Linked DNA regions of Sus scrofa. The protein of the gene in region 7 purifies or fractionates together with the protein of the main gene of each other region. This does not show direct contact. Links are inferred from orthologs where the notes say so. Each region holds a gene or a part of one and is shown on either strand. Other genes may lie near its edges. The genes, in order: BAG2, NADSYN1, PSMA3, PPARG, PRMT5, HSPBP1 and STUB1.

Evidence for each region.
Region 1: the proteins of STUB1 (region 7) and BAG2 purify together in Homo sapiens (affinity purification with mass spectrometry; 7 studies listed by BioGRID and IntAct, with this or other methods). This does not show direct contact. The link is inferred for Sus scrofa from reciprocal best matches to the Homo sapiens genes STUB1 and BAG2.
Region 2: the proteins of STUB1 (region 7) and NADSYN1 purify together in Homo sapiens (co-immunoprecipitation; 3 studies listed by BioGRID and IntAct, with this or other methods). This does not show direct contact. The link is inferred for Sus scrofa from reciprocal best matches to the Homo sapiens genes STUB1 and NADSYN1.
Region 3: the proteins of STUB1 (region 7) and PSMA3 purify together in Homo sapiens (affinity purification with western blotting; 3 studies listed by BioGRID, with this or other methods). This does not show direct contact. The link is inferred for Sus scrofa from reciprocal best matches to the Homo sapiens genes STUB1 and PSMA3.
Region 4: the proteins of STUB1 (region 7) and PPARG purify together in Homo sapiens (affinity purification with western blotting; 3 studies listed by BioGRID). This does not show direct contact. The link is inferred for Sus scrofa from reciprocal best matches to the Homo sapiens genes STUB1 and PPARG.
Region 5: the proteins of STUB1 (region 7) and PRMT5 purify together in Homo sapiens (affinity purification with western blotting; 3 studies listed by BioGRID and IntAct, with this or other methods). This does not show direct contact. The link is inferred for Sus scrofa from reciprocal best matches to the Homo sapiens genes STUB1 and PRMT5.
Region 6: the proteins of STUB1 (region 7) and HSPBP1 purify together in Homo sapiens (affinity purification with western blotting; 4 studies listed by BioGRID and IntAct, with this or other methods). This does not show direct contact. The link is inferred for Sus scrofa from reciprocal best matches to the Homo sapiens genes STUB1 and HSPBP1.

The regions. Positions count from the first base shown.
Region 1 is NC_010449.5:28,677,698-28,681,945, forward strand, and holds the start of BAG2 (BAG family molecular chaperone regulator 2), read right to left. Parts: upstream 2,801-4,248; 5' UTR 2,485-2,800; coding exon 2,372-2,484; intron 2,235-2,371; exon of another isoform or gene 2,097-2,234; coding exon of another isoform or gene 2,086-2,096; intron 1-2,085. UniProt on the Homo sapiens protein: Co-chaperone for HSP70 and HSC70 chaperone proteins. Acts as a nucleotide-exchange factor (NEF) promoting the release of ADP from the HSP70 and HSC70 proteins thereby triggering client/substrate protein release.
Region 2 is NC_010444.4:2,362,357-2,365,856, forward strand, and holds part of NADSYN1 (glutamine-dependent NAD(+) synthetase), read right to left. Parts: intron 3,234-3,500; coding exon 3,180-3,233; intron 2,765-3,179; coding exon 2,675-2,764; intron 1-2,674. UniProt on the Homo sapiens protein: Catalyzes the final step of the nicotinamide adenine dinucleotide (NAD) de novo synthesis pathway, the ATP-dependent amidation of deamido-NAD using L-glutamine as a nitrogen source.
Region 3 is NC_010443.5:187,355,731-187,359,230, reverse strand, and holds part of PSMA3 (proteasome subunit alpha type-3), read right to left. Parts: intron 1,418-3,500; coding exon 1,316-1,417; intron 1,236-1,315; coding exon 1,162-1,235; intron 1-1,161. UniProt on the Homo sapiens protein: Component of the 20S core proteasome complex involved in the proteolytic degradation of most intracellular proteins. This complex plays numerous essential roles within the cell by associating with different regulatory particles.
Region 4 is NC_010455.5:68,362,645-68,366,800, forward strand, and holds the start of PPARG (peroxisome proliferator-activated receptor gamma), read left to right. Parts: upstream 1-1,356; 5' UTR 1,357-1,372; coding exon 1,373-1,451; intron 1,452-4,098; exon of another isoform or gene 4,099-4,156. UniProt on the Homo sapiens protein: Nuclear receptor that binds peroxisome proliferators such as hypolipidemic drugs and fatty acids.
Region 5 is NC_010449.5:76,109,571-76,113,804, reverse strand, and holds the start of PRMT5 (protein arginine N-methyltransferase 5), read right to left. Parts: upstream 2,801-4,234; 5' UTR 2,796-2,800; coding exon 2,686-2,795; exon of another isoform or gene 2,450-2,685; intron 2,006-2,449; coding exon 1,887-2,005; intron 1,578-1,886; coding exon 1,492-1,577; intron 944-1,491; coding exon 809-943; intron 1-808. UniProt on the Homo sapiens protein: Arginine methyltransferase that can both catalyze the formation of omega-N monomethylarginine (MMA) and symmetrical dimethylarginine (sDMA), with a preference for the formation of MMA.
Region 6 is NC_010448.4:59,458,034-59,461,533, forward strand, and holds part of HSPBP1 (hsp70-binding protein 1), read right to left. Parts: intron 3,215-3,500; coding exon 3,010-3,214; intron 1,431-3,009; coding exon 1,206-1,430; intron 1-1,205. UniProt on the Homo sapiens protein: Inhibits HSPA1A chaperone activity by changing the conformation of the ATP-binding domain of HSPA1A and interfering with ATP binding. Interferes with ubiquitination mediated by STUB1 and inhibits chaperone-assisted degradation of immature CFTR.
Region 7 is NC_010445.4:41,092,382-41,096,522, forward strand, and holds STUB1 (E3 ubiquitin-protein ligase CHIP), read right to left. Parts: upstream 2,801-4,141; 5' UTR 2,681-2,800; coding exon 2,522-2,680; intron 2,030-2,521; coding exon 1,831-2,029; intron 1,743-1,830; coding exon 1,577-1,742; intron 1,240-1,576; exon of another isoform or gene 1,098-1,239; coding exon 1,010-1,097; intron 858-1,009; coding exon 801-857; intron 714-800; coding exon 597-713; intron 520-596; coding exon 394-519; 3' UTR 133-393; downstream 1-132. Other genes in the region: JMJD8 (jmjC domain-containing protein 8), read left to right, coding at 6-86; uncharacterized protein LOC100524737, read left to right, coding at 2,989-3,116, 3,189-3,282, 3,439-3,598, 3,778-3,930, 4,050-4,141. UniProt on the Homo sapiens protein: E3 ubiquitin-protein ligase which targets misfolded chaperone substrates towards proteasomal degradation.

The DNA.
Region 1 (4,248 bases), on a different chromosome or scaffold from region 7:
AAAATGACCTGGGAAAATCATGCATTCTTCTTCCACTTGATCTTCTAGGTAGGATTCTAGGTTCTGAGAGTGCACTCCACTCTCCATGGCTCACATGGTTTCAAAAACTCCTGTTTTTACCCACCTTCCCAAATGCTTCCTAAGTTTTCACTCAGCGTTACTTTTTCTAAAAGCAAGAAATAAAGCTCGCAAAAGTCTACAATTACTGGGAAGGTCCTTAAAATGAACAACTAGACACACATTAATCAGCCTTTCCTCCTCAGTTCAAGAGTTAATTCGGCAAAATACAATTTAATTGCTTGTACTCAGTAATCAGAATTCGCTTCACATCAATCGCTGGAACACAATATTCAAAACCAAAGCCTTCCTGGTAAAGACGAGCACTTGGCTGCTTTCGTACGTGAGGCACTAGTTCAAGTCTGAGGACCACCACTCAAGCTTGAAGAAGGAGGCGGGGGCAACATCCCCCACGGTCCCTGAAGAAGAAACCCTTCCTTTCTGATGGGGTGTGGGGGTGGGGAGACCCCAGAAATGGTTGAGAACATGCCCCTCCAAGTTCTAAAGCCCGGGAAGATGACAAGACCCCTTTGCGATGCGATGAAAAAAGAAAAGGCAGTCTGCCGGGGCGGGGGTTGGAAAGGGGACAACACACGACATTCAGGAGCACTGGCTTCAGCAGGTCCAGCCACGGGAAGCACTGCTCTCCCCTTATTCCATCTGTGTCATTCCCAGCAGGACCCCAGAACCAGTCTGGGTTCTGGTTTCCATTACTACCCACAAAATCATGATGGTGGAGAATTTATTTTCTTTTTTTTTTTTTCATTTATAATGATATTTCTTCCATTATAGCTGGTTTACAGTGTTCCGTCAATTTTCTACTGTACAGCAAGATGACCCAATCACACATACAGGTATACATTCTGAATTTATTTTCCGAGAAGACATTGTTTCTTGCCATCATCATCAATAACAAATTTCAAATGATAAATACTAAATTTTAAAATGATTAATATAGGCCTCACTTGCTTAATGCTAATTGATAAATAATAAATGCCTCATTCAGTTAATCATGATAAATAATGAAGAAATGCCTCATTTGGTTATTAGTGTACTTTATGAGTCATAAGACCCCTCCCGTTTTGGTGTATTAATCAAGGGAGGTAAAGGCAATTCTTGAAATGTCTACCTTACCTACTCCTTTGCTCATCCAGAACCTGGTGCAAACTATGGAAAAAAATGCGGAGGTTTAAGGGAGTTGTGGGTGCCCCAGTTAAGATTTTCATAAAACTACACTTGCACACAATTTATACAGTAGCTTTTGTGACCTGAACCTTTACGAGAAGTACATCAACGTTTTCATACATTGTGGAAAGAGAAAAGTAGGTCCAAAACTTCTTGCATAGGCTTTAGGCATCCCAAGGAGCCTACCACCCCATCTGCCGCTAGGAGAGTCCCTGGCCACCCGGTTCTACAGGAACTGACAGCACAGCCTGGAAAGAATTCAGACGAGCAGGAATGAGGAGGCTCTGCGCTCTGGGAAAACTGGCGGAACAGGCCCACAGAGAGAGATTTTCAGGAAAATTTAATGAACCCAGATTCTTGCATCTTCCCACACGCAGAAAAGCACTAAAACCATTGAGGACACATCTGCTCTCCCGACCAGCAGCGACCTTCTATCAAAACGTGCGCTCGCCCATCTACCCCGCCCTCAAGTCCCCTCCGTGGGGCCGGGGCGGCGCTAGAGGCCCCCCCACACCCCCAGGTGCTCAGCACGCCCCCCAACAGCGCAGCTCGGGCCCCCTCACGCGGCTTTATTTCAAGCCACACGTTGATTCCTTATTAAAACCTGAATCAGCTAAGAGTGGAAACAGGTGACCCCTGTGGTTTCGGGCCAGCAAACTGCACTTGGAAGGTGGGAGCGGCTCTTGGTGGGGGGAGCCCGGCGCCGGGAAAAACGCAGAGGGGACCGGGCGGGCGCCCCACAAGTGCCCTCGCCCCGCCCCGCCTTGGGATCCGATGGGGCCCCGAAGCTTTATTCTGAGATATTGCTCTTAAGTGTTGGAAGCAAAAGAATGGATCACTGACCTTGGGACCATTAGACCGCCACCCGTTCAGAAAGAGCATCTCAGGGAGACCCGACCGAACCCCTGGCGTGCAGAAGGTTCTGGAAGCTCCGCGGACCCGCGGTGTCAGCCCAGCCCCAACCGCCAGCGGCGTCCCTACCCTTCACCTCCTCGGCTTCCCCCGCTCCCGCGCAGGCAAGAGCGCGGCCGCCGGGACGCGGGGCCAAGGGACCGCCGGACGGACAGGCTAGCGAGTGCCCCAGGGCCGGGGTCCGACCGCGCCCGGATCCGCCCGCCGCCCCGCACACCTGAGCTCCAGCTGGTCCAGGCTCTCCAGCAGGCGGCTGGAGCGGTCGGCCATGGACGAGGAGCGGCAGAAGCGGCCCTCGTTGGCCTTGGCGCTGATCCTCGCCTGAGCCATCTGCGCCCGGAGGCCCGAGGTCACCGCCGTCACCGCGCCGCACGCCTCTCTCTGACGCGCCGCCCGCGCCCGGGCTGGGGATCCGCGGTCTGGGTGGGGACTGGGGGCCAGGGGACTGGGGGTCGGGGGGCGCGGGTGGTCGAGCAAGGACTGGGGTCCGGACGACTGGGGGCCAGGGAACCGGGGCTCCAGACGCCAGGGGAACCCAGGGGCGCGGGGCGCTGGCTGACCGCGCGCGGGCGGTAGGAGGAAGCCGGGCGGCCTGCGGGGCGGCTCACGTGGCGTCGGGCCCGCTCTTCGCCTGGAACACCGCCCCCAGGGCGGAGCCCGCGCCCCCGGCCCGGCCCGGCCCAGCCCAGCCCGCCCTCCCGCCTCCCGCGCGCAGAGCCGGGCCGCCGGGGCCGTGTCGCCCGACCTGCCTGGCCACCAGGCCCTCTCCGGAGATGAGAACGAGGCTAATAGAGCGCGCGAGAAAAGGCGCCCCTCTTACCACCCAGCGGGACGTAGGAAGGTGAACTTCCTTTATTTTCAATGACTTTCTTCTGTTCAAAAGTTATTTGCTGGAATTTAAGTGAAATGGTTAAGACCCTTTCACACCCAACTTATTTAAATCTCCTGTTAGGAAAAGATGCCGTAGGCCACGAGGTCAGACACCATGAAGGTCAGTACAAGTGGAGTGAATGTTGTGGGGAGCTCGCTGCTTCACGCTGCAAGAATGAGAAGGTACAGGGCACTTCAAGTGGAGATAATAACACTTTAAAGCTGGATCACAACCTTTAATCTGAGATCAAAGCCATGTAAATAAGTGAACAGAGATGAAGCCCTTAAGGCTGGATGGCAATTTTTCTGAACTTAGACTCCATGTCGATGAATTGTTGCTGGAGGGGAATATTTGACATCATTAAGTATATTCTCTCATATCATGACACGAACAAAGAATCCTTCCACTTTTGGAGAATGGAAGTCTATCAGGTGACTTCAGCATCACCCTGGACTCTCATGCCAGAGACCCAGTCCCCTCCCCTTCAGGGTGCACCCAGCCTGCCTTCCCTCCTGGACCAGTGGCCTGCCCTCCCACTTGCACCCCTGCTTCTGCTCTCAGCTGTTTGCACTCAACACAGCCCCACAGCAGTCCAAGTACAGCAGGTCACACCACTTACTCTCAGAAACCTTCAGGGCTCCTCCTTTCCAGGGTCTTCAGAAAAGGTCTCTAAGGATGCCACCTTGCATTGCCCTCTGAGCTCATCCTGCTCTTCTAGACCTTTTCACCCTCTTCCTAGAGCTCGCCCACCTTCAGGTCTCCTGAGCTTCACCTGGTCAGGGTCCTTCCCGACCACCCTGTTGGAAATAACTGCCTCCCCCTGCCCAGCCCCATGCTCTCCCCCCTTCCCTGTTTCACTATCTTATCATTCGAGGTTCTATCCAACCCCCTCCCCGAGTGCTCCAGAGTGGGGGCTTTGTGTGTGTGTGTGTTGGGGGGGGATCTCAAGTGCCGAGAACAGTGGCGAACACATGGTAAGTAGCCAAGAATACTTTGTGAGTGGGTGAACAAATAAATGATTTGAAAGAAATTGAAAAGAAAAAAATGATGCTCTTTAAATTGAGCCCCAGCCTGCTGAGTATCAGAGCTGCACTTGCCAAGGGAGCCCAGAACAAACCCGTGTCTTGTTCCCCAGCGATGTCAGAGAGGAGAGCCAGGCCAGCAGGCGGGTAAGAAATAGGACAAAGGGCTGGGCTGGTAGGACACCAAGGATCCAAAAAAAA
Region 2 (3,500 bases), on a different chromosome or scaffold from region 7:
CAGGACTCAGCTGCCGTTTCAACCCCTCCAAGAAACGTCAGCTTTGAACAGTCACTGTGACACTCCCTGATGACACTGGGGAGGTGGGGTCAGCGTGATGTAGACGCTACTGTCCTCCCCCCCAAAGAAGAGGGTCGCCTGAACCACCCGTCCCTCCCCTCCTGCCCTTGTTCTTGTCCTGCCCTCCTTCTGCATCCCGTACACCCGTCGGGGTGCCCTTCCCTTTACGGTGGGAGGCTGCCCGGCTCCTGAACCACTGCATAAAGCCAAGGGGGTCTTCCACCTGACCCAGATGGATTTTCATTTTTTAAGAAACCCAGAAAACTGTGAAATGTCCGTCTTAGGAAGAGGAGATGCAGAAAAACTAACAGCGAGCGCTTGAAAGTGCGCCAAACCCTGGCCTCCCAGAGCAGGAAACCAGGAAATGGCAATGTCTGCACATTTAGTTAGAAATACTGAGGCAGAATGCAGAGGTTATGCGGGGAAGGGAGAAAAATGGGAAAGGAGACGGAGACAGCTTCAGGGAGCAGGGCTCGGAGACGGGGGCAGACGAGGAGAGTCTGTTTGTTTTTTGTCATCTGCTCACAGGATTATTTCTGACTTATGAAACCATGTTATTATATAAAAGAGCCGACGGTTTGTACTATATAAAGGAATGAATCATTGCGTGACTCTCAAAAGCATCATGGTGAGCAAAAGAAGTCAGTTATGAGAAAACGTACAGGTGTCACTCCGTTTGCATGACATCTAAGACAGGACAAGACGAGCCTTGGGGCTCAGCTGGCAAGAGCTGTGGCGCCGCGGAAATGGCTTTAGCTTCTATATGGTGTGACTGCTCCAAGGCACACGACTGTCAAAAAGAAAGCACCCAGGAGCTCCCACTGTGGCACGAGGGGTCAGTGGCATCTCTGGGCCTCGGGGATGCAGGTTCAACCCCCGGCCCAGTGCAGTGGGTTAAGGCTCTGGCGTTGCTGCAGCTGTGGTGTGGGTCACAACTGTGGCCTGATCTGATCCCTGGTGCCGGAACTCCAAATGCTGAGGCGTGGCAAAAAAGGAAAAAGAAAGAAAAAAGGAAGGAAGGGAGGAAGAAGGAAAGAAAATGAAAAGAAAAAAACAAAAAGAAAGCACCTAAAATCTGCATATTTCATTGCATGTTATCTACCTCACTTAAAAAACACGATTTGACACAACACTCCTAACAATACAGAGAATTTCAGCCATACGATGACTTGATAATATACCATTCATACATTTAAAGCCATCCGGGCACAGAAAAAAATTTTTTTTTAAAATTTTTAACTAACATAATACTGGCGTCTGAATCTAGAAAAGAGAAAGAAATTCTGAGTAAATACGAACACATGGAATCAAAGCTTAATCCATCACATCCGTTTGGCGTCCATGGAGACATGCAAAGACGTTACGTTCAGCTCAACACAGGCTGAAAAGACGTCTGATCAGTGCAACATCCATTTGCCATTAATTTTAAGGCCCCAAAGCGAAACTAATAAAGGATGGATACGAACGCCAAACCAAAGGCAGAAACAGGCAGAGCTCCCCGAGTCAAGTCGGGGAACAGACAAGACATCTGCTCCAGAAATGAGCTAGGATATTGTTCTAGAGGTGCTGGCCAGCAAGCGCTGCTTTGAAAACGGACTGAGAGATGGAAGTATTGGAAAGAAGCAAAGGTAGTTACATGTTATATAACTTCTACTTGGAGAGAAACAAAGAGAACCCAGGAAATCAGTAGAATAACGACCAGGTTAGACTATAGGAAGGCGGCCAATGGCAAAAGCAACACACACAATCCTAAGCTCTTCCTGCATAAGAATATTAACCACTTAGGAGTTCCCGTCGTGGTTCAGTGGTTAACGAATCCGACTAGGAACCATGAGGTTGCGGGTTCGATCCCTGCCCTTGCTCAGTGGGTTAAGGATCCGGCATTGCCGTGAGCTGTGGTGTAAGTCGCAGACGCGGCTCGGATCCCGAGTTGCTGTGGCTCTGGTGTAGGCCGGTGGCTACAGCTCCGACTGGACCCCTAGCCTGGGAACCTCCATATGCCGCGGGAGCGGCCCAAGAAATAGCAACAACAACAAAAGACAAAAAGACAAAAAAAAAAAAAAAAAAAAAAGAATATTAACCACTTAAAATATCATGTTAAAGGTTCCTTTTGCAACAGCAGCAACCGTGAATAAACAGAAATAACTGTGAGAAGAATATACAGCAACCAGGGACAGCGCTGTCCCCAGGGGACACTTGGCAATGTCTGGTGACATTTTAAATTGTCACCAATGGACACAGGTACCTCGCCGAGGTAGGCCAGGGGAACCGCTGCACACCTCGGTGTGCCGAGGACGCCCCTTCCACCCCGACAAGAAAGATCCGGCCCCCAAGCCACAGGGCTGGAGTCGAGAAACCCTGATACACAGGGTCCGATGCAGGACGACTGATGAGCGCTGATGGGTGACCTTGAGCTGCAGCTGATAAACTGGCTGCGAATTCATCCGCAGCATCAAATCAGCCCCGTCTAAATGACAGTACTCCAGGGCAGGGACTTTGCCCCGAATTCTGGGCTGTGTCCCCCTCGACCTGCACAAGCTAAACACGGAAAGACGCTCCATGCACACCGACGGGGCGGCCACAACCCAGGCCCCCGCGCGTCGGGCAGACTCACCGACTCCTGGACCACGGGGTAAACCAGCGCAGCTCCCGGTAGTTGCCCTCATTGGCCAAGGCCATCTTGGGTCTAATGAGCAGGATCTTCCTACAGCAGGGGGACAAGGTCACTCCTGAGACGAACACGCCCTGTGACAAGGAGCAGCCCCAGGGCCATCCACCCGGACTGTCAACGGGGGGCAGAGCCCCTAAGACCTGGCAGCGGGGCATGTGTGGGCAGCAGATGTTTAGGGACCACGAGGGGACATGAGAAGGCCGCCCTCCCTGGACTGACCTCCCGGTAACAGGGCTGTGGTCCCCAAACCCCACCCTATGGCCTTGAATACCTGCAGGTGTCAGCTGTGGCAGAGACCAGGAGAGGCGGTGCCCCTTGAGTCACCTGCCTGGAACACCAGCCCCGACCAAGGTGTCTCCAGAAGACGCCTCCCAGCCCTCGGGCCCCCGGGGCCGTGCCCTGAGCCTGGGAGGGGCAGGCAGGTCACTCTGCTGCCGGGGTCACCTACCTGTTGAGGAATATCACCCTGCAGTTGTACCGGACATTGCGGTGCATCACGGGCCTGCGGAGAGAGGCGCACACACGCTGGTCTGCAAGTGGAAGCCACACGTCTGGGGTGGGGTTTTTTTTTTTTTGGTCTTTTTGTCTTTTTAGGGCCACAGTGTGGCACATGGAACTTCCCAGGCTAGGGGTCGAATCGGAGCTGCAGCTGCCAGCCCACACCACAGCCACAGCCACGCCAGATCCGAGCCGCATCTGTGACCTACACCATAGCTCATGGCAACACAGGATCCTTAACCCCCTGAGCGAGGCCAGGGATGGAACCCGC
Region 3 (3,500 bases), on a different chromosome or scaffold from region 7:
ATCATGCTAAGTGAAGTCAGCTGTACAATGAGACACCAACATCAAATGCTTTCACTGACATGTGGAATCTGAAAAAAGGACAGACTGAACTTCTTTGCAGAACAGATGCTGACTCACAGACTTTGAAAAACTTATGGTCTCCAGAGGAGACAGTTTGGGGGGTGGGGGGATGTGGTTGGGTTGTGGGATAGAAATCCTGTGAAACTGGATTGTGATGATCACTGTACAAAAAAACTAAATAAGTAAGTGCAGCTGAAAAAATAAAAAGATAAAAGTATATCAGAGAGATATTAATGAGAAAACTGAAGTGTCACTATAGTTGCCTAGTTAATAATGACCACATGGAATACATTTAAAATCCATTTGCAATTTACTGAAAATTTCTGGGTCTAGTTCCAGAGAATTTTTTCCCTAATTTTACTGAGAAATAATTGACAACAGTCACTTTATAAGTTTAAGGTGAACATCATGATGATTTATACACATTGTGAAATGATTACAACAGGTTTAGTTAACATCCATCATCTCATACAGGTACAATTAAAAAAAAATTCCTCCTTGTGATGAGAACTAAGGACCTACTTTCTTAAAAATTTTCCTTTTTATCATGCAGCAGTGTTAACTGTAGTCTCATGTTGTACATTACATCCCTCATACTTATTTACCTTAAACTTTACAAGTTTATATACCTTTTGACCACCTTCCTCCAAAGAATTTATTATAATCAGATTAAAATATTACTGAGTTAGGTTTTATCCTCAGTTCAAATCTGCATAGCCTTTCATTTTTCAAAGTTTTAATTTTTACATACAACATTTGATTTAATCATTGCCCTAACACTTCTTGATTACAGTTGTTTTGGGGGGATTTTTTTTGTCTTTTTAGGGCCACACCCACAGCATATGGAGGTTCCCAGGCTAGGGGTTGAATCTGAGCTACAGCTGCTGGCCTACACCACAGCCACAGCAATGCAGGATCCTTAACCCACTAAGAAGGTCAGGGATTGAAGGTATCCTCATTTATGCTAGTCGGATTTGTTTCCACTGAGCCACGACGGGAACTCCAACAGTTAATTTTTTAAGGGTAAAAAAGTCTAATAACATGCTGGGAAAACAGATACTACAGTACAGATATGAATGAATATCTCACAAAATTTCATACCTGCAGCCAAAAGGTCTAACAGCACTGTAGAGGGTATAGGCATGTACATACATGGCCACTCTGTCTGCAAGATGCTGTGGGGGAAAAAACAAAAGAACGTATTCATACTCTTTTCTTACTATTCAAAAGGCTCCTCAACATGTTACCAACTTACTTTTAGTGGAATGTTATATCCAAAGTTAGACCTAAAGTTGGAAGCCTCTTCTCTTGCAATGTCTGCTAAAGAACGAGCATCTGCCAACAAACCTGCTACTGCCTGAAAATAAAAAAATAAAAAAAAAAAACAACTATCAATTCAGTAGGTAACATATCTATCACAAATCACGGGAAGTATGTAATTATTACAGGCTTATTTGATTTTTTTTGTTTTTTTAACAAGCACCATTATTGGAATAAATTTTTTTGGCTTTTAAAGGTCTTTACAAGGCATTTGGCATTTTGATGCTTGAGTATGGGATTATAATTTGGGAATTTACTAAATGTGACTTCACTGTTTTGTCCAGTGATCACCTTCAGAAAAAACCTTCATGTCTTCCCATTTACAGCTTTATTATGAAGAGTAAAACAACAGGAGTTCCTATAGTGGCTCAGTGGTTAAAAAACCCGATGAGCATCCATGAGGACACAGGTTCAATCCCTGGCCTTGCTCAGTGGGTTAAGGATCCGGCACTGCTGTAAGCTGTGGTGTAGGTCACAGACACAGCTCAGATCCTGTGTTGCTGTGGCTCTGGTGTAGGCTGGCGGTCAAAGCTCCAAATGGACCCCTAGCCTGGTAACCTCCATATGCCTGAGGTGCAGCTCTAGAAAGATAAAAAAAAAAAAAAAAAAAAAAAAAAAGGATAAAACAACAAAGAGAATAAAACCACTAGTTTTGGTCAGGACTGATCTTTATTTGAAGTATTCTATATTCAAAGTTTATTAAAAGTTTTAATCTAAAAGGCACAATTTTATGTCTCCTTCTTTTTCAGCCAACTGACTACTAAATTGTAATGCCAAACCAAAATATGACAAAGCCCAAATTTTCCAAGAATAGTGGCTTAGAACTGCAATTACCAAACCTTGTGCTGAGATACCCCAGGGCACTATAATGAACTCAGAGTTGTGGACATTTTAAGTTTGAGGGAGACATCTGTTGAAGTAGTTCACAGTTTTAACATTAGAGCATTCTGTACTCCTTTCAAAGCTATGGTATCATTGAGAGAAGTTGGGTTGCTGTGATATAAAATAAGTACTGTGCAATAATCAATGCCGAAGAGGAAATGGAGTGGGGCTGGGGCATAGTATCTAATCCAGTTTCAAAGTTTTAAGTAGTTGTACACTGTACATTAGTAATTGTGATTGTTTAAAAATAAAAATATTTTTCTTTGCTAAATGTGTATGTTTTTTCTTACAGCTACTAAGTTTTTAGGACATAAACACTTAGCTGTTTGGACCTGCATATATAATAAACAGAACCATTGGGTATTTTGTCTAGGGAAGCGATGAAAACAAAACAAAAAAAATTATTGAAATACTTACAGGTATAAAGAACCAAGAAAGTCTGGCAATCAGTTGGCAAAGAAGGTTTGCAGAATTTAAAATAAATGCTGTCAGAATTTTTAATAGTCTTATTTTCTAATATTACCAAGTAATAGTAATAACTATGAAAATCTTTAACACATATTGAACACCCATTACACGCTCAGCATTTTACATAATAATGCACGAGGGGAGGTACTATTACTAACATAGTTTTGGAGGTGAGGAGACTGGTGTTCAGAGTAACTTCCACAAGGTATATTCAGCTAGTTTAAGTTTTACCATTTGAAAAATCTTCCCTTGCTTTAGAGAAAACTTACTGTGAAGTCTAATAATCTATCAAATTCCTTGATGACAATTGTGGAGACAGAACGTTATCCTTCATTTTCTCCAGCCCTCCTCAATGTCTCATGTTTTGCCAATTCCCAGCTATAAGGAATGCCATCAATTTCCTGGCTTTAAATAACAAGTGGGACACATCTGAAAATTCTAGAACAAAAATTTTTTCCATCACTAAAGTGCCTACAAGGCTATATGGTTTTTGTTTTTTGTTTTTCAAAATACACCTACCTAAAGTTTTTACTACATGAAACAATGCAGGATTCACTAGTTTCCTGCCAGCTAGGTTACAATAATAAAATCTGTTCAGGAGAGAAAAGTTTCAGAAAATAAAGCAAAAAAAAATTATTTTTATCTTATCTGTAGCTTTATAGTTTACTGGTTATATTTTTACCAGTCGTTCTTGTGTTTGTATATAACACATCTCATTGAGAAATAACAAAGCTACTAGTATTTCAGCAGAATGAGTAGATCAAATAGGA
Region 4 (4,156 bases), on a different chromosome or scaffold from region 7:
CAGCATTTTCCTAATTACAAAACTGACCACAATTCCTCGCCAACCTATCAGTATAAATCCTTTTTTTTTTTTTCTGGTAATGCATTATTCCTGTCAGGGAGAACTCCACATTTTTCATTATGATCTGGAATTTATGCTTAAACATTAACCAATGTTCAGGCATCAGCTGATGCAGTATTGCTGCATATGCTATAATTGGATAAACTTCATAATTAAATTTTTGAAAGCAGACTCTGATATGTAAAATCTAAACTGTATCAAGCCCTCTCTATGTCCAGTCTCTCAACTCTTTAATTGTATGGCATTTAGATAGCTGTCAGTATCATTTTTTACATACTTTACAAAGTAGTAGAATAAATACCTTAGAACAGAATATTTCAGTAGCTGATAGCAAATTTTAAACTATGAACACATGCTTGAATTCAGAAGTCTTCTTCAGATATCAGATAATGGGCAGACAGAAAAAAAAAAAAACTGTGTGCAAGTTGGTTTATCCGGTATTTCTTTTTAAAGAAATTTTTAAATTATAGTTGATTTACAATGTTGTTCCAGTTTCTGCTGTACAGCAAAGTGACCCAGTCATACACCTATATACATTCTTATATTATCTTCCATCATGTTCTATCCTAAGAAATTGGATATAGTTGCTGTACAACAGGACCTCATTGCTTATCCATTTAAATGTAATAGTTTGCATCTTAACCCCAAACTCTCAGTCCATCCCACTCCCTTTGTCTATTTCATAACTCAGGGATGTAAACTTTTCAATTAAGAAGCAATTGTGAGTTCCTGCTGTGGCTCGGTGGGTTAAGAACCCAACTAGTATCCATGAGGATCCGGGTTCAATCCTTGGTCTCACTTAGTAGGTTAAGGATCCAGCATTGCTGTGGCTGTGGTGTAGGCTGGCAGCTGTAGCTCTGATTCGACCCCTATCCTTAGAACTTCCATATGCTGCAGGTACAGCCCTGAAAAGACACAAAAAAGAAGCAAGTGGATGTTGAGCAGTCTCTTTGAGAGTTCTGAACACTGCACTGCTTGTGCCCCTCACAAGACACTGAACATGTGGGTCACTGGCGAGACAGTGTGGCAATGTATTCCTTGTAATGTACCAAGTCTTGCCAAAGCAGTGAACAATATTATGACACAACGTTTTGTCACAGCTGGCCCCTAACAGGAGTGTGCCAGCCAGTTCAGCCCTGGTCCTGTGGGAGTTGATTCCCACCTCTCCAGTATTTGGAAACTGATGTCCTGACTCATTGGTGCCTTCACCAGTTCTACAACCAGGAATCTTTTCCCTTTAATGGATTGGCCTTTTGCAAGAAATAGACAAAATATCAGTGTGAATGACAGCAAACCCCTATTCCATGCTGTCATGGGTGAAACTCTGGGAGATTCTCTTATTGACCCAGAAAGCGATGCCTTCGACACGCTGTCTGCAAACATTTCACAAGGTAAAGTCGGTCCAGATACGGCTACTGGGCACTTCGGGTGTTTTGGAAGGGTACAGTTGTTCTTGTAGCTTGTTTTCCAAGTTTTATTTGTTCTGATTCTATGATGTGTATGTTTCAGTCTCTTGCTGCTCTGTGTTCACTTATGCGTATATTCAGATCTTTAAAAAAAGAAACCTAATCTAATCCCTATTTTATCTGGGCACATGACTCCTGTGTCCTGAATTTTAAGCAACCAAAGTATATATTTTAAAATTTTTATTCATTTTTATTTTCTGAGTTTGCATTTTCCCCAAAACACCTAAGGTCTTTTTTTTAGAATACCTGGGGGGTCACTTTTTTCCTTTTAGCTTTACATGTCACGTGTCTCTCAGCACAGTTTTTCTCTCTCTCCTGGGATTTATTCCTCTTAAAGTGTCTTAGCACGTTTTTGTTCTACTTTGAAATCTAGATAATTGCGTATGCCTTGTATCTCTCCCAAAGAATCATAACTTCCAGAGTGGAAGACCACATTGTATTTTCCTTGTATTTGTTAGGATTACAGAGCATAGCACCTTAGGCTTTGTAGAACAGAGTGCACGGACCTTGGCGAAGGCCTCTTCTAAGCATCTCATTTTACAGATGGAGAAAATGAGGCCCCAAAATGCCTGTGGCAGGCTAAATAAATGATTATTCCTTTTACTCAGATATAAAAGATTCAAACAGATAACCTCATTTTCAGCATATCTTTCTCGGCCATTGCAAAATTATATTCTTTATTTCTACAGCTCCTTCTACTGGAGTGTCTTAGCACAGCTGCTTCTGCTTTATACTGTTTCGCATTTGTTTCTGTATTTCCATTTTTTTTCTCTTCTCAAAGATGCCACATAAAAATAGATTGTGTTAACTAGTCTGATTCCTATTTTATACTTTAAGTGCTTAAGCGTTAAAATTAAGTTCCTTAATTATTGAAATGGATGGCTTTACATTTTAATGTTTTAATTTTTCTGGAAGCCTAAAGTTTGAACATATTAATCACAGATTTTTTAAATATCAAGATTTGAAAATTATGAAAAAATATTTCCTGAAATAGCATTTCATTTTATTATGATGACTAGACTCAATGCATATTTGTATGGGAGTTTTGTTTCATTGTATTATATAAAAGTCTATTATTCTGTTTTTCTACAAGTCTGCTTTCTCTAGTTATTAATTTAGGCTGCATCAGGGCAGAATGTCCTAACTATACTGTAAAATTATTCTTGAGTCAAGATTTAATAGTTTTGTCTGTTTGAAAGGAATATTGAGTCAAGATTTAATAGTTTTGTCTGTTTGAAAGGAATATGTCCAGAATGCAGTACAACCAATATTTTAAATTAACTCGGGGGGCAAGAACTGGTTATGGTAAGCAATAGTTATGTGTTTTAAGTTAGTTTTCATTCTGTACTAGTCTCTTTATTTTTATGCCTTGATTTTGCCCTGGGTTTAATTTTTTGAGTGTCAAATCCGCTTCAAAAGAATAACCCAGTACTTTTCTTTTTAATTAACCTGGTATAGAATAAAATCATTAGCAATCAAGAAGTTATTTGTTGGGGAGTTCCCATCGTGGTGCAGCGGAAACGAATCCAACTAGTTAAGGATTCGGTGTTGTGGAAACGAACCTGACTAGTATCCATGAGGATGAGGGGTTTGACTCCTGACTTCACTCAGTGGGTTACAGATCAGGGATCCAGTGTTGCCATGAGCTGTGGTGTAGGTCGCAGATGTGGCTTGGGTATGGTGTTACTGTGCCTGTGACATAAGTAGCTTATGTGGTTTGGATCCCAAGTTGCTGTGGCTATGGCGTAGGCTGGCAGTTCTGATTTGACCCCTAGCCTGGGATCAGTGCTTAAGCATTAAAATTAATTGCATATGCTGCAGGTGTGACCCTAAAAATAAAAAAGAAAGAAATTATATATTGTACCATTTAACTCTTACGTTATATGGTCTCTGATTTTTCCTTATTCATAAATGTTTTTCTGTTAAAAATATGAGTTTCTAAAGGCTAAAGACCTGTGATAGCTAATAACTCTCATGGTATTTTGTAGGCGACCACAAACTACTTATTCCACACTTGCCGAAACAGACAAACTTGAAAATAAATTGGGAATATATCCAGCATTAGCTAATTGAGGCCAGCAGAGATGCTGCACTGTAGAGATTAGGTACTTGGGTAGATCCAGGAATGCATTTGGTCCTCTTCCTTATCACAGGTGAAGGGGAATCAGGGTATAACAAGGGTCAGGGTGCTACTGCTGAAGACAGAGGGACTTGCTGAGTGTGAAAAATCCAGATGTCCAGCTACATTGGTCCTATTCATAAACATAAAAACTCTACTCTCTGTGGGCACTATGCCCACATTTTCCTGGTCTCCATTATCACAGTGACTCCCTTTTTCTTACCTTCCTTTCTGGTTTCATCATGAGCTTTTCAGGGAACCCCAAGTAACCCCAAAGCTGGCTCTGAAACCATTTCCACTAGTAAAAATTGGCACAATTGAAGGGAAGCTTCCATAAACTCAAGCTGAATACGCCTCTTGCTTTTCGTGCCAGAATTAATCCTGCGTGAATTCTCTAATTTTAAGTTGTTGCACCAGAGCATTGAAAGATGATGACACACTTGTCCTTTGCAGCGGATTGAGCAATGGAAGTATGCCTTAGAGACGTGATAAGTGCTGCAAGAGATGATTC
Region 5 (4,234 bases), on a different chromosome or scaffold from region 7:
ATTAATTAATTTATTTTTGGCCGTGCCCTTGGCATGTGGAAGTGTCCAGGCTGGGGATCAAACCCCACCACAGCAATAACCCAAGCCGCAACAGCGACAACACCAGATTCTTAACCCACTGCGCCACAAGAAAACACCTCTCTGCCCTATTTAGAACTCTATTTTGAACTCATTGGGTCCAGAAGCTTCTTTCAATTAAAAAGATCTTGATCCAGGAGTTCCTGTCATGGCACAGGGGAAACGAATCCGACTAAGAACCACTAAGAGCTAAGATTGTGGGTTTGATCCCTGGCCTCCCTCAGTGGGTTAAGGACCTGATGTTGCCATGAGCTGTGGTGTAGGTCGCAGACACGGCTCAGATGTGGCGTTGCTGTGGCTATGGTGTAGGCCGGCAGCTACAGCTCTGATTTGACTCCTAGCCTGGGAACCTCCATGTGCCACAGGTGCAGCCCTGAAAAGACAAAAAAAAAAGCTTAAACATAAATAAATAAAAAGATCTTGATCTAGATTTCAACTTAATCCCCTTACATGCTTTTCCCAATTGTGATTTTATGTATGTGCACACGTATCTCGTGTACATCCTTATGTAAGTATCTGCCCTGTCTTTTACTTTATTATAAGTTTCTGGAGATAATAGAATATGCTATGTATTTTATAAGTCTCTGCTTACCACTTTTAGTTGTGGGTAGGCAGGACTGACATTTAAATTCTGCCTAATGCACCCTTTACTGAATGGCTAGGAAAAGAAGATATTTAGCACAGCCTGACTACCATAATGTGCAGCAGGAAAGGAGGCCCTCAGCCATACCATGGAGGAGTGGTGGCCAGTGTGGATGTGATTAGTCAAAACTCTTGCCAAGTTTGTGTTATCTTCCTGATTTAGGGGCAGCAGGAAAGCTGGAAGACCCAAATAGGCCCCAAAATTCAGCTCCTGTAACATAGCCTAGAATGGAGAACAAGAGGCAAAGTTAAGAGCTAGCAACTCAAACAACCTTTTTTTTTTTTTTTTTTTTGTCTCTTTAGGGCTGCACCCACGGCATATGGAGGTTTCCAGGCTGGGGGTCCAATCAGAGCTGAAGCCGCCGGCCTACGCCACAGCCACAGCAACTCAGGACCTGAGCCATGTCTGCAACCTACACCACAGCTCACGGCAATGCCGGATCCTTAACCCGCTGAGCAAGGCCAGGGACTGAACCCTTGTCCTCATCCTCATGGATGCTAGTTTTTTTTTTTTTTTTTTTTTTTTATTTTCCCACTGTACAGCAAGGGGGTCAGGTCATCCTTAGATGTATACATTGCAGTTACAGTTTTTTCCCCCACTGGATGCTAGTTTGATTCATTAACCACTAAGCCACAAGGGGAACTCCTCAAACAGCTTTAAGTGCATTACATCAGATTTACTAAGTTATGGAGGGGAAAAATCTGTTCTCCCCATCCAGGTTGTTTACAGATCTGATCTTTAGAAAGATTCGGTGAAGATGTCAGTCTTACCGCCTCAGAGTTCCTGCGGATCTTCTCCACTTTTGAGTCTGGACGAATCCATGGGGAAAGCTTGCCCACAATTAGTGTATTCCAGTCTGCACTCCCCAACCCAAGAAAGACAAAGACTGAGTGAGGTTCAGCACTTTATGCATTCAATTTCTATTTCTTAACAGGGAATAGTAGAGATGAGAGACAAAAGGCTTTTTCTATCACAGATACAGGAAAGCCTGATGCAGAATAGGAAACTAAGGCTTTGAGCAGTAAGCAAGGAGAGAACAAGAGTTATCCATATCCCAGGGTTGAACAAATACATCCAGGTCAAGAAAGGAAGAGGAAGAAGGCACTGATAAAACATAAGTTGTTACTGCCTCTAATAATTAAGGGGCATGTGGGATGGTCCCTACCCCTTCCTGACAGCAGTAGGTCTGATCGTGTCTGGGGACCCGGCCGATTCTTAGCAGGTTCCTGAGTGAACTCCCTCTTGAAACGCGGGTGGAAGACAGGCATGCAGAGGAAATCAAACCTACAACCACGACAGACCCAGAATCGTCATGTAAAGAGAGTAGCAGTGCCCAGCGATCCAAGCAATTGGACTAGGCTATCTCCATTCTGCACAACCCTTTCAGCTGCCATTAGTCAGTCACTCGAATGGGCTGCTGAATTCGGCCCATTTTAGGGAATATCACTTCCACTGCGTTGTGCCTCAATTTCTTCCCAGAACAGAGCCATGGAAAAGATGAGAAAAGAGAAAAGATGAAAATCCACGCCACGTGGACTTTCTACTCTGTTGTCACTGATTTTCCAAGACTGTCATATCCAGATCTGCTCCAGTACTACCCAGGCTTCAGCCCTCAAGGTTCATCTCTCCTCTCCCTAGCCCCATAACACTTCCTCCCACTCTGAGACAAGAACCTCGCACCTCGCTCTCCAGGGCCCTTGAGGTCGTACGCCCTCTTTTTGAGTTTACCTGATAACTCTCTCGACTTTGGGGTTCAGGGACCACACGTTCCCAATATGTCTTTCTTTCTCTTTCTCTTACGCTCCAGGGCCGGAGGCTTCTCCCTACATGGACTAGCGGTTTCTCCCACCCTAATCTTATCCACTCCGACCCCCTCACCCCTGCTTCCCAGGGATGACTGGTCTGCCCCTCTCAGTCCCCGAGTTCCGACCCCGCATTCTGTTCGCGGAAGTCCAGGCCCTCACCCCTGCTTGGCCACAGCCCCCAGTGTGTCAGCTATTTCGGGGACGCAATTCAGGTCCCTCCCGCTGGACACGCGGCTTCCACCGGCACCGCCGACCGCCATCGCCGCCATCTTTTCCCTCGCGCAGTCCACGCCGAGATTCCCTGACACTGGCAGCCAATCACAAAGCCGAAAAAAAGCCCCCGGAAGGCGGGACGAGTCTCCCTGACAACCAAAGCGTCTCCCAGGGTCCCGAGCAAGTGGAGGAGGGGTGGGAAGTGGCTCTTCCTGCCAATCCGCAGGCTGCACAGTGACGTAGGGCACGGCTCCGGAAGAGTCACCAATCTCAGGGTCTGGTTCTCGACAAACTTCGATCTCCCATAATGCTTCATGTACTGGTAAAATTCCGGTAAGAGACTACACGTCCCATGAAACCCTGCAGTATAAGCTTGAAGTGTCATCATTGAGAACGAAGAAGTCGTCTCAGGGCCAGTGGCGCAATGGATAACGCGTCTGACTACGGATCAGAAGATTCCAGGTTCGACTCCTGGCTGGCTCGGTGGGGCTAACGCTTTTGGTGCATCCCCTGCAATGCTTTAATGCCCCCTTTTAAAATTTCTTCGCTGTCCTCTCTCGCTCTCATTTTCAGGTCTTAATGTTATTGCATTCTGCAACTATTTCATGCCAGCGTTTAATAATACCTAGTTCAAAGATGGTTCTTGTGTCCCTGCCTTGGTGCATCCAAATGCACCAAGAAAACTGAGTTAATGGCTGGTGCTCTTAAAATGGATTTTGAATGGGCCTTAGTATATTTTTAAACAGATTGTGGCAATTCAGCCACAAATTCCTTGTGATTCGGTATCTCAAATACAAAAAGCAAACACTGAAACACACACACCACTGAAGATAAAGGAATTCATGGTGAGAGATTACAGTGGAGAGAAGTTATGAATTGACTGGCAGAGACAGGAAAGAGTCTCTACATTTTTCTTTTCCATGCTTGCTAGAGGGATGGAAAAGAAGGAAAGGAATGAAGCAAAAAAAGATCTAGGCAGGAGAAATACCTGAAGGCAGGAAGCCCAGAGGTGTTGCGGACTTGGCAGCGGGGAACGGAAAAGAGAATCAATACAAAAGGCCCTAGGCAGGAGGCCTTGACAGAATTTAGAGACCGACTGACAGGGAGTCTGAGAAAGGGAAGTCTGGGGGTGATGCCCAGAGTTCTGGCCTCTTTGAGCGAGACAAATGATAAAAGCTGGTTTAGGGAGAATCGAGGCTGGGGTTTGGAAATGCTGACTTGGACGTCTAGGGGGCGCTGTGTAATAGAGAGTTGTATGAACAGTGATCTGAACCAGACAAGATTTGCAAATCGCCAGAAGAGAGATAGTGACTGAAGCCAGGAGACCGAATGAGATCGCCGCAGTGGACGACAGAGTCCTGAGAAACACGGAATGTGTGTGGATAGGCTAAGCTATAAGGGAATACATTGTAAGCGCCCCAAAAGGATGAAAGTCAGAAAGTCAGAGAACTACGAAAATGCCTATGAAGCCTAAAAGAGTTGGAGGTGCTTGTGT
Region 6 (3,500 bases), on a different chromosome or scaffold from region 7:
GCTCCAATTTGACCCCTACCCTGGGCACCTCCATATGCTGCAGGTGTGGCCCTCAAAAAAAAAAAGGACAAAGCGTGGGGAAAAAGAAATGCAAGGTATCTCGTTAGCACTCCACATAATGAGGGGCTGAAATGACAATAATTTAAATATAAGGGGTTAAATAAAATGTCATCCAATTAACAAAAAAAAAAAAGAAAAAAAAAGTACCAGCCTATGAGGAGGGGTAGACATGACTAAGCCTCTCCATCGCTGGCTCCGCCGTCATGATGTGTCCAGGAGCAACCCTTCCCTTCACACAGGGCCTCGCCACCTGGCAAAGCTGACAGGTGGCGCCACATCATTCTGTGTCACAGGGGCCGCCCTGGGCACCAGAGGCTGCCACAGCCATCACCACGCCAGATCCCTAACCCACTGAGCGAGGCCAGGGATCAAACCCACATCCTCACGGACACCATGTCAGGTTCTTAGCCCCCTGAGCCCCAAGGGGAACTCCAACATCAACTTTCAAAAAGATAAAAGGCCTCAGCCACAAGGAAGAAAAAATGAAATTGTGTCATTTGCAACAACATGGATGGACCTGGGAGTTGTTACACTAAATGAAATAAATCAGACAGAAAAAGACAGATACTGAGGTTAATGACTTAGCTCTGAAATCTAAAAAAATAAGACAAACTACTGAATACAACAAAAATGAAATAGACTCACAGACGCAGAGAACAAACTAGAGGTTACCAGCAAGGAGAGGGGAGAGGAAGGGGCAAGAGAGGGGTTGGTACCAAAAAAAAAAAAAAGATAAAAGGCACTGTAGTTCTCGGAGCTCCTGCCTGGCACCCTGGCTGGCACGCTCTGGGAGAAGCCCGCTAACACGTTGTGAGGACACTCAAGCAGCCCCCTGGAGAGCCCCCTCCACAATGACGGGGGTGATCAGGTCCCAGATGGCAACAGGACTTTGGCTGAGAGCCCTGAGGGGGCCCAAAAGCACTCGAGCGGGCCCTTGTCCTGTGTCGCCAGGATCTGGCTCTCTGACCAGTGCAGCGGGTGGCAAGTGCACAGCTCTGTTCCCAGCACCAAGCAGAGACCCGACAGGTGCTGGGAATAAACAACAAATGAGGCCCCCCTCCCTCTGCCCTGAAGCAGATCGGAGGGCTGGCGCCTGCCCTGTGGACCCAGGCCCCACCCTGCCAGCCCGGCCCCAGGACACTCACAGGAGATGGCGAAGAGGGCCTTGACGCGCACCGAGTCGCAGGGGTCCCGATCCAGCAGGCGCAGCAGCTTGCGCAGGGCACCGAGGCCCAGCACCTGCTCCTGGATGGCCGCCACGTTCTGGCTGCATGTGCCGATGAGTTGTGCCGCCCGCCACCGCAGCCCCGCGGGGCCCGCCTCCAGGTAGCGGCCTACCAGCAGGTGCATGCCAGATAGCTGGCAGAAGTCTGTGTGGGAGAGAGGGGAGCAGACAGGTGTGACGGGCTGAGCTGTGCCCACCCCCAACTTTCCACTGAAGTCCTAACCCCCAGGGTCCTAGGAAGTACTGTATTTGGGGACAGGCCATTAAGGAGGCGATTAAGGCGAAATGATGTCACAGGATGGGGCGCCGGTCCAATATGACTGGTGTCCTCATAAGAAGAGATCAGGACACAGACACCCACGGAGGAGGAACCACAAGAGGATACAGTGAGAAGAGCGCCGTCTACGAGCCCGGAAGGGCCTCAGAAGACACCAATGCTCAGGCTTCCAGCCTCGGAACTATGAGAAAGTAGACTTCTGCTGTTTCAGCCCCAATCCGCGGTGCTTTCTTAGGGCAAAGGGGAGCCTGCCTCCGAGGGCTGGCTCTCTCCAAGGACAGTGTGTCTCGACGATGTCAGCATTTGGAGGGTCAGGGCTCCCAGGCTCCGGCCCCCTCAATGCCAGCCCGGACACCCCGTCTCTGTGACCACCAGGACATGCCCTGTGGGAGAAGCACACGCCAAACCAGTGATCTGCAAACTACAGCCCACCGGCTGTTTTCCTATTGGCGAGCTTGGCGCTTCCTCAGAAAGTCATCAGCGAAGACACCTAGTTATCTCCCAAAGCGGTGAAAGCAGGAACTCCACTGGGCACCTGCACGCCAGTGTTCACAGCCGCATCATGTGCAATAACCCAGGGGTAGCTGCCCCAAATACCCATCAGCTGATGAATGGATCCATGACACGCAGCCTTAACCACAGAAAGGAATAAAGTTCTGATACCAGTCACAACGTGGAAGAACCTTGAAAACATCACCCTCAGGGAAGGAAGGCAGCTGCAAAAGGTCATGCCTTCTACGACCCCTCATCCGTCAATGTCCAGGACAGATAAACCCAGATCCTCGACAACCACACCGACGCCCCTCCAAGTGGAAGTGACGACTCGTCCATCAGTCAGCTTCTCGGCACCGAGAGTAAGAGCCACAGCACCACCTTGGCCCATGAGGCCAGGTGTGCCTGGTGTCACTTCCTGGCCTCCACTCTGCTGTGCTGGCCTCACTGCTGTTCCCGAACATGTCGGGTGCGTTCCCACCGCAGGGCCTTGGCACAGGCCGTGCCCTCTTCCTGGAATGCCTTTTCCAGAGCTAATTCCATGACTTGAGCCCTCGCTTTAGGTCTCTAACCAAGTGTCACCCTCGGGGAGGGCCTCTCTGGCTCCCCCATCAAGGAACACTTCCTGTGGCTTACTCTGAAGTGGCCATGGACTCCCAGCAGAGGAGGGCGACGTGGCCAGTTTCAGAGAGCATCGGTGAGGTGGTGGACTGAACCTGCAGCCATCAATGCTCCTGACGGCAAGTGAACCGAGCAGGGAGGGACAGGGAGTCCCACCGGGGGCCTGAATCGGAGCCAGACGGCAAGGGTGAGGCTGGAGGCTGGGAGGCTGGGGAGGAGGCTGAGCCAGAGGTCCCTGAGCCAAAGGACAAGGGCTGGGCTGCAGAGGGAAGCCAGGAGGCAGAAGAGGCAGGACCCTGGCAGCCAGAGGCAGGCCGAGGTGGGCTGGCTGTACCTGCAGCGTTGTCCATGTTCTCACACAGGTCGGCCAGCAGCTCCAGGGCCCCCTCACGCTCCTGCTGGTCAGCAGCCAGTTCAGCTTCACCAGCTGAGGAGGGTGTGGGCTGGGACAGCACCCGGAGGCAGTTCTTCATCTGCTCCACCTCCTCTCGCTGGCCCCGGAAGGCGGCCGACATGGCCTCCTGCAGCCACTGGCGCCTCTGGGGAGTGAGGTGGAAGAAAGAGGCAAACTTTACCAATAATTAATTCATGAATAACAGTCATCACCAACAACAGCCACTGTAAATCAACCATACTGCAATAAAATTTTTTTTTTTTTTTGTCTTTTTGCCATTTCTTGGGCCACTCCCCCAGCATATGGAGGTTCCCAGGCTAGGGGTTGAATCGGAGCTGCAGCTGCCAGCCTACACCAGAGCCACAGCAATGAGACATCCAAGCTGAGATCCAAGCCGAGTCTGCGACCTACGCCACAGCTCACGGCAACGC
Region 7 (4,141 bases):
ACTAGGTGCTGTATTTCCCTGACCGATGGTGGCACGCCACACTCAACCTTGACATCAGCGTCTTCATCTCTACGTTCCTCAGCTAACCCAGGGGGTGGCTGGTAAGCCGTTGCACACCAGCACACGCCCCCATAGTGCTCACAGATTTTATTACAGGGACAGTGGTGGCAGCAGCAACCTCGGCCTGGCCCACCCTCACCTGCCGCTTCTGGCACAGGAGGATGGGGGAGCCTCATGGCCCAGCAGAACTGGTGGGGCTGGGGCTGGGGATACCAGGGTGGGGATCCAGGGACACGAACTATGTACAGAGGCTAGGGGCTGCTGCCCCAAGGCCCTCCCAAGAAGCCAGGATACTGGGCAGGGTGGGTGAGGGGCCCACCCACTTGCCCTGCCTCAGTAGTCCTCCACCCAGCCATTCTCCGAGATGAACGCATCAATGACCTCCTTCATGGCCAGGTTGGGGATGAGCTGTTCCTGGGTCAGGGGGCTCCGAGTCACAGGGTCAAAGTGGCCCACGCGCTGCAGTGGCAACAGGATCAGAATGAGAAGATGCCCAGTGGGTGTGGGCCCTGCCCCCAGCGGCTACGGACCCTTACCTGCAGGTGCTCCTCAATGTCCTTGCGGTCATAGGTGATGCCACTGGGCGTGATGCACGGCTCCCGCATCAGCTCGAAGCTGATCTTGCCACACAGGTAGTCAGGGATGTCTCGCTTCTGCAGCACCCAAGCTCAGGTCAGGAGCGGGAAGGGGCACTGCCCTGGCTCCTGCTACCCACAGGGCCCAGGGAACAGGCAGCTTACCTTTCTCTTCTCATCCACCTGGGAGAAGAGCTCATCCATGTCTGCCAAGTACTTATCCTACAAAAAACCAGGCAGCTCCAGAGAAGCTTGAGCCCCTGTCGCCTTTCCCCAGGCACCCCGCCCACAAAGACCCAACAGGAGCCAGGGTCACCTCACATCACACACGTGCAAATACACACAGGACCCACACGTGGGCAGGGCACCCTCACATGCTTGGCCTCGATGCAGGCCTGCTGGGCCCGGATGTGGCCGTCATCCTCTTCACCCTCGTGGTTCCGCTGACACTCTTCCAGCTCCCTGGGGTGGACCACACAGCTGATCAGAGATGGGTCTGGCCAGAGGAGATCAGACTCCACCTTGGGCCGATTCAGGCCCTGTTCCCTCATCTCCTGCTTTCCCAGGCTGGTCCTCAATAAACGCTTATGTTCACGACTCAGAATGGTGACTTTTGCGAGTTCCCGTCATGGCTCAGTGGTTAATGAATCCGACTAGGAACCATGAGATTGCAGGTTTGAACCTCGGCCTTGCTCAGTGGGTTAACGATCCGACGTTGTCAAGAACTGGTGTAGGTCGCAGACAACGGCTCGGATCCCGCATTGCTGTGGCTCTGGCGTAGGCCGGCGGCTAGAGCTCCGATTGGACCCCTAGCCTGGGAACCTTCACATGATACAGGAGGGGCCCTAGAAATGGCGAAAAGACACGAAAACAAAAAAACAAGGAAAAAAAGAATGGTGACTTTGGGAGGTGGGGTGGAGCCCATGAACACCACAGCCCACCTCTCACGCTCAGCCACAATGAGTCGAGTGAGGTAAGAGTGCAGCTCGTTCTCCTGGTGGATGCGCCGCTCCTCGATGCTGTTCCAGCGTTTCTTCTTGGCAATGCGCAAAGCACTGGGGATGTCATCCCCAAAATTGAGCCGCTGCTCCTTGGCCAGGTTGTAGGCTGGGGGAACAAAGGATCCGGGTAACCCTCGAGCCAGTCCCCCCGCCTGGTCCCAGGCACCCTGGAACAGGCCAGCCAGCAAGCCCACCTCGCTGCAGGTTGGCAATAGCCTCATCATAGCTCTCCATCTCCAACTGGCACTGCCCCAGGAAGAAGTGTGCTTTCACAGACTGGCTGTCCAGTTCCAGGGCGCGCCGGCAGTCAGCCAGGGCTTGCTCGTGCTGCTGCATCTTCAGGTAGCACAGTGCCCGGTTGGTGTAATACACTGCCACCAAGGGATTCCGGGTCTGGGGACCAAGGCCGGACCAGCCAACATGAGGGAGTGAGTTCAGCCTGCCCTTTCTGTCCTAGCTTGAGACCCACGGCTGGAATCAAGACACTAGAGGTTTCTCAGCACCCAGGTCTCTGGGCGCGGAGGAAGGGTGGAGCCTACCTGAGCCCGCCCCCTCGACTCCAACGAGTCTTGCGAAGACAGGTTTCCCAGACTCCTGAAAATCCCCAGCTTTGGGCTTGGACCCCCAGCCCAGTGGGCTGCAAGCACCCTGAAGCTCCCACCCGCCACAGTTCTCTGACCACCAACCCTGGCTCGGGAGCCGTAGCCTTGGCCTCTCTGAGAGAAGATCACTCAGTCCTCAGAGCCGAAGTGCATCCCCTCCGAAAGTCCGGTAGGGGCGGCCAGACAGGGGCTCCGGGGAGGACGCGGGGCCGAAGCCGCGGCCCGGCCCGGCCCCTCCTCCGGCCCCGACGCCTGCCCCCTCCCGCGGCCCGGGCGCACTCACGATGGCGCGGCCGTAGCAGGCCGCCGCCTCCGGGTACTTGCGGCCCACGAAGAGCCGGTTGCCCTGCTCCTTTAGCTCCTGCGCGCTCGGGCTCTTCTCCGGGCTGCCGCCGCCGGCGCCCAGCCGCGCGCCGCTCTCCTTCTCCTCCTTGCCCTTCATGGCGCCGCGCGGCACGGCCTGGGCTCCGCTCCCAGGCTCCGCGCCCGGCCCGCCCAGCGCCCGCACCCCGAGCCCGCGATCCGCTCGGGCCCAGTCCTGCGCTCTGCCACCGGAACTTCCGGCCGTGCGGTTGGGCGGGGCCTCGCGTGCCCCCAACGCGCCGCGGGGGCGGGGTTGGCAGGGAGCGTGCGCTCGCGGCGACTCGACGCGCGGCGTCGGCAACCTGAGGAGAGCCGAGGTCGTCGGGGCGGAAGCCCACCCCGGCGCCCCGGCGCCCCGCCCCCGAAGCCCTGCCCCGGCGCGTGGACATGGCGGCGGCCCGCGGCCTTTGGGGCTGTGAGGACCCGAGCCTCTGGGCCGCCGTCCTGGGCCGCCACGGGGAAGTGCTCCGAGCGCGCGCGGGCCCCCAGGGGCGGCTGGAAGCCCTGGACCGATGGTAGGGTGATAGGGGCATCGGGTGGGCGGGGGACCCCCGTGGCCCGGAGTCGCCGTCACAGCTCTTCTCCAGGTATCGAGAGGCGTTGCCCGCAGCCATCGAGGGCCGGGAGGAGAAGCACGTGACTCGAGAAGAGCTGGGGCAGCTGCTGGCTTGGAAGCTGGCTGTGAGGAACTTCCCACTTGGGGGGCGGGGCCTCCTTCCGGGGCGGGGCGTAGCGGTGTGGGCGTGGGCGTGGCTCGCCCGGGGGCGGGCCCTCGCGCTGTGGGGCGGGGCCCCTAGCGAGGTCCAGCACCCGTGACCCCCACCCCGACTTGACCAGCGGGGCCGCTTCAGGCCGCGCCTGCATCAGCTCGTCAGCGCCAACGCCCCGGAGTTGGTGGTGCAGCACTCGGCTGCCGCCTTCCCCCTCCTGCCAGACATGCACGCCGCGGTCACGGAATTACGCGCCCTGCGGGGCGTGGGCCCGGCCACGGCCTCGGGTTAGTCGGGAGAGCCTGGCGCCCTGGCAGGGTCGCGGGCGGAACCTGGTCTGTTAGTACATTTGCCTGGGACATCGCCTGATGGCCACGTTCATGACACCAAGAGCTGTTGCGAATGGCAGCCCCGAAGGTGTCTTGAGGCTGGTGGGGCCTGAGTGTTGGCTGTTTGCTGCCCATAGCGGTCTTGGCTGCCGGAGCTCCCGAGGTGGCAGCTTTCATGTCTGAGGAGGCAGTGGCCGCGGTGCCCGGTCTGCCAGCCCTGCAGTACACCCTCAAGCACTACCTGCTGTACCTGAGCCGGGTGCAGGAGCGAGCCACAGCTCTGAGCCATGGTGAGGAGACTGCTGGCAGCGAGGGAGGGCATTCAGGACTCTGGTCAGGGTGGAGGGTGCAGAGCTTCCCAGCAGAGCAGGGTGACCTGGGCCCCAGACTCCCTGTTGCCCCTCCTTAGGCAGTGCCTCAGGGCTGTGGACCCCGCATCGTGTGGAGACAGCCCTGTGGACCTGGGCTATAGGGCAGAAGCTGTGCCCTGACCTGCTGCCC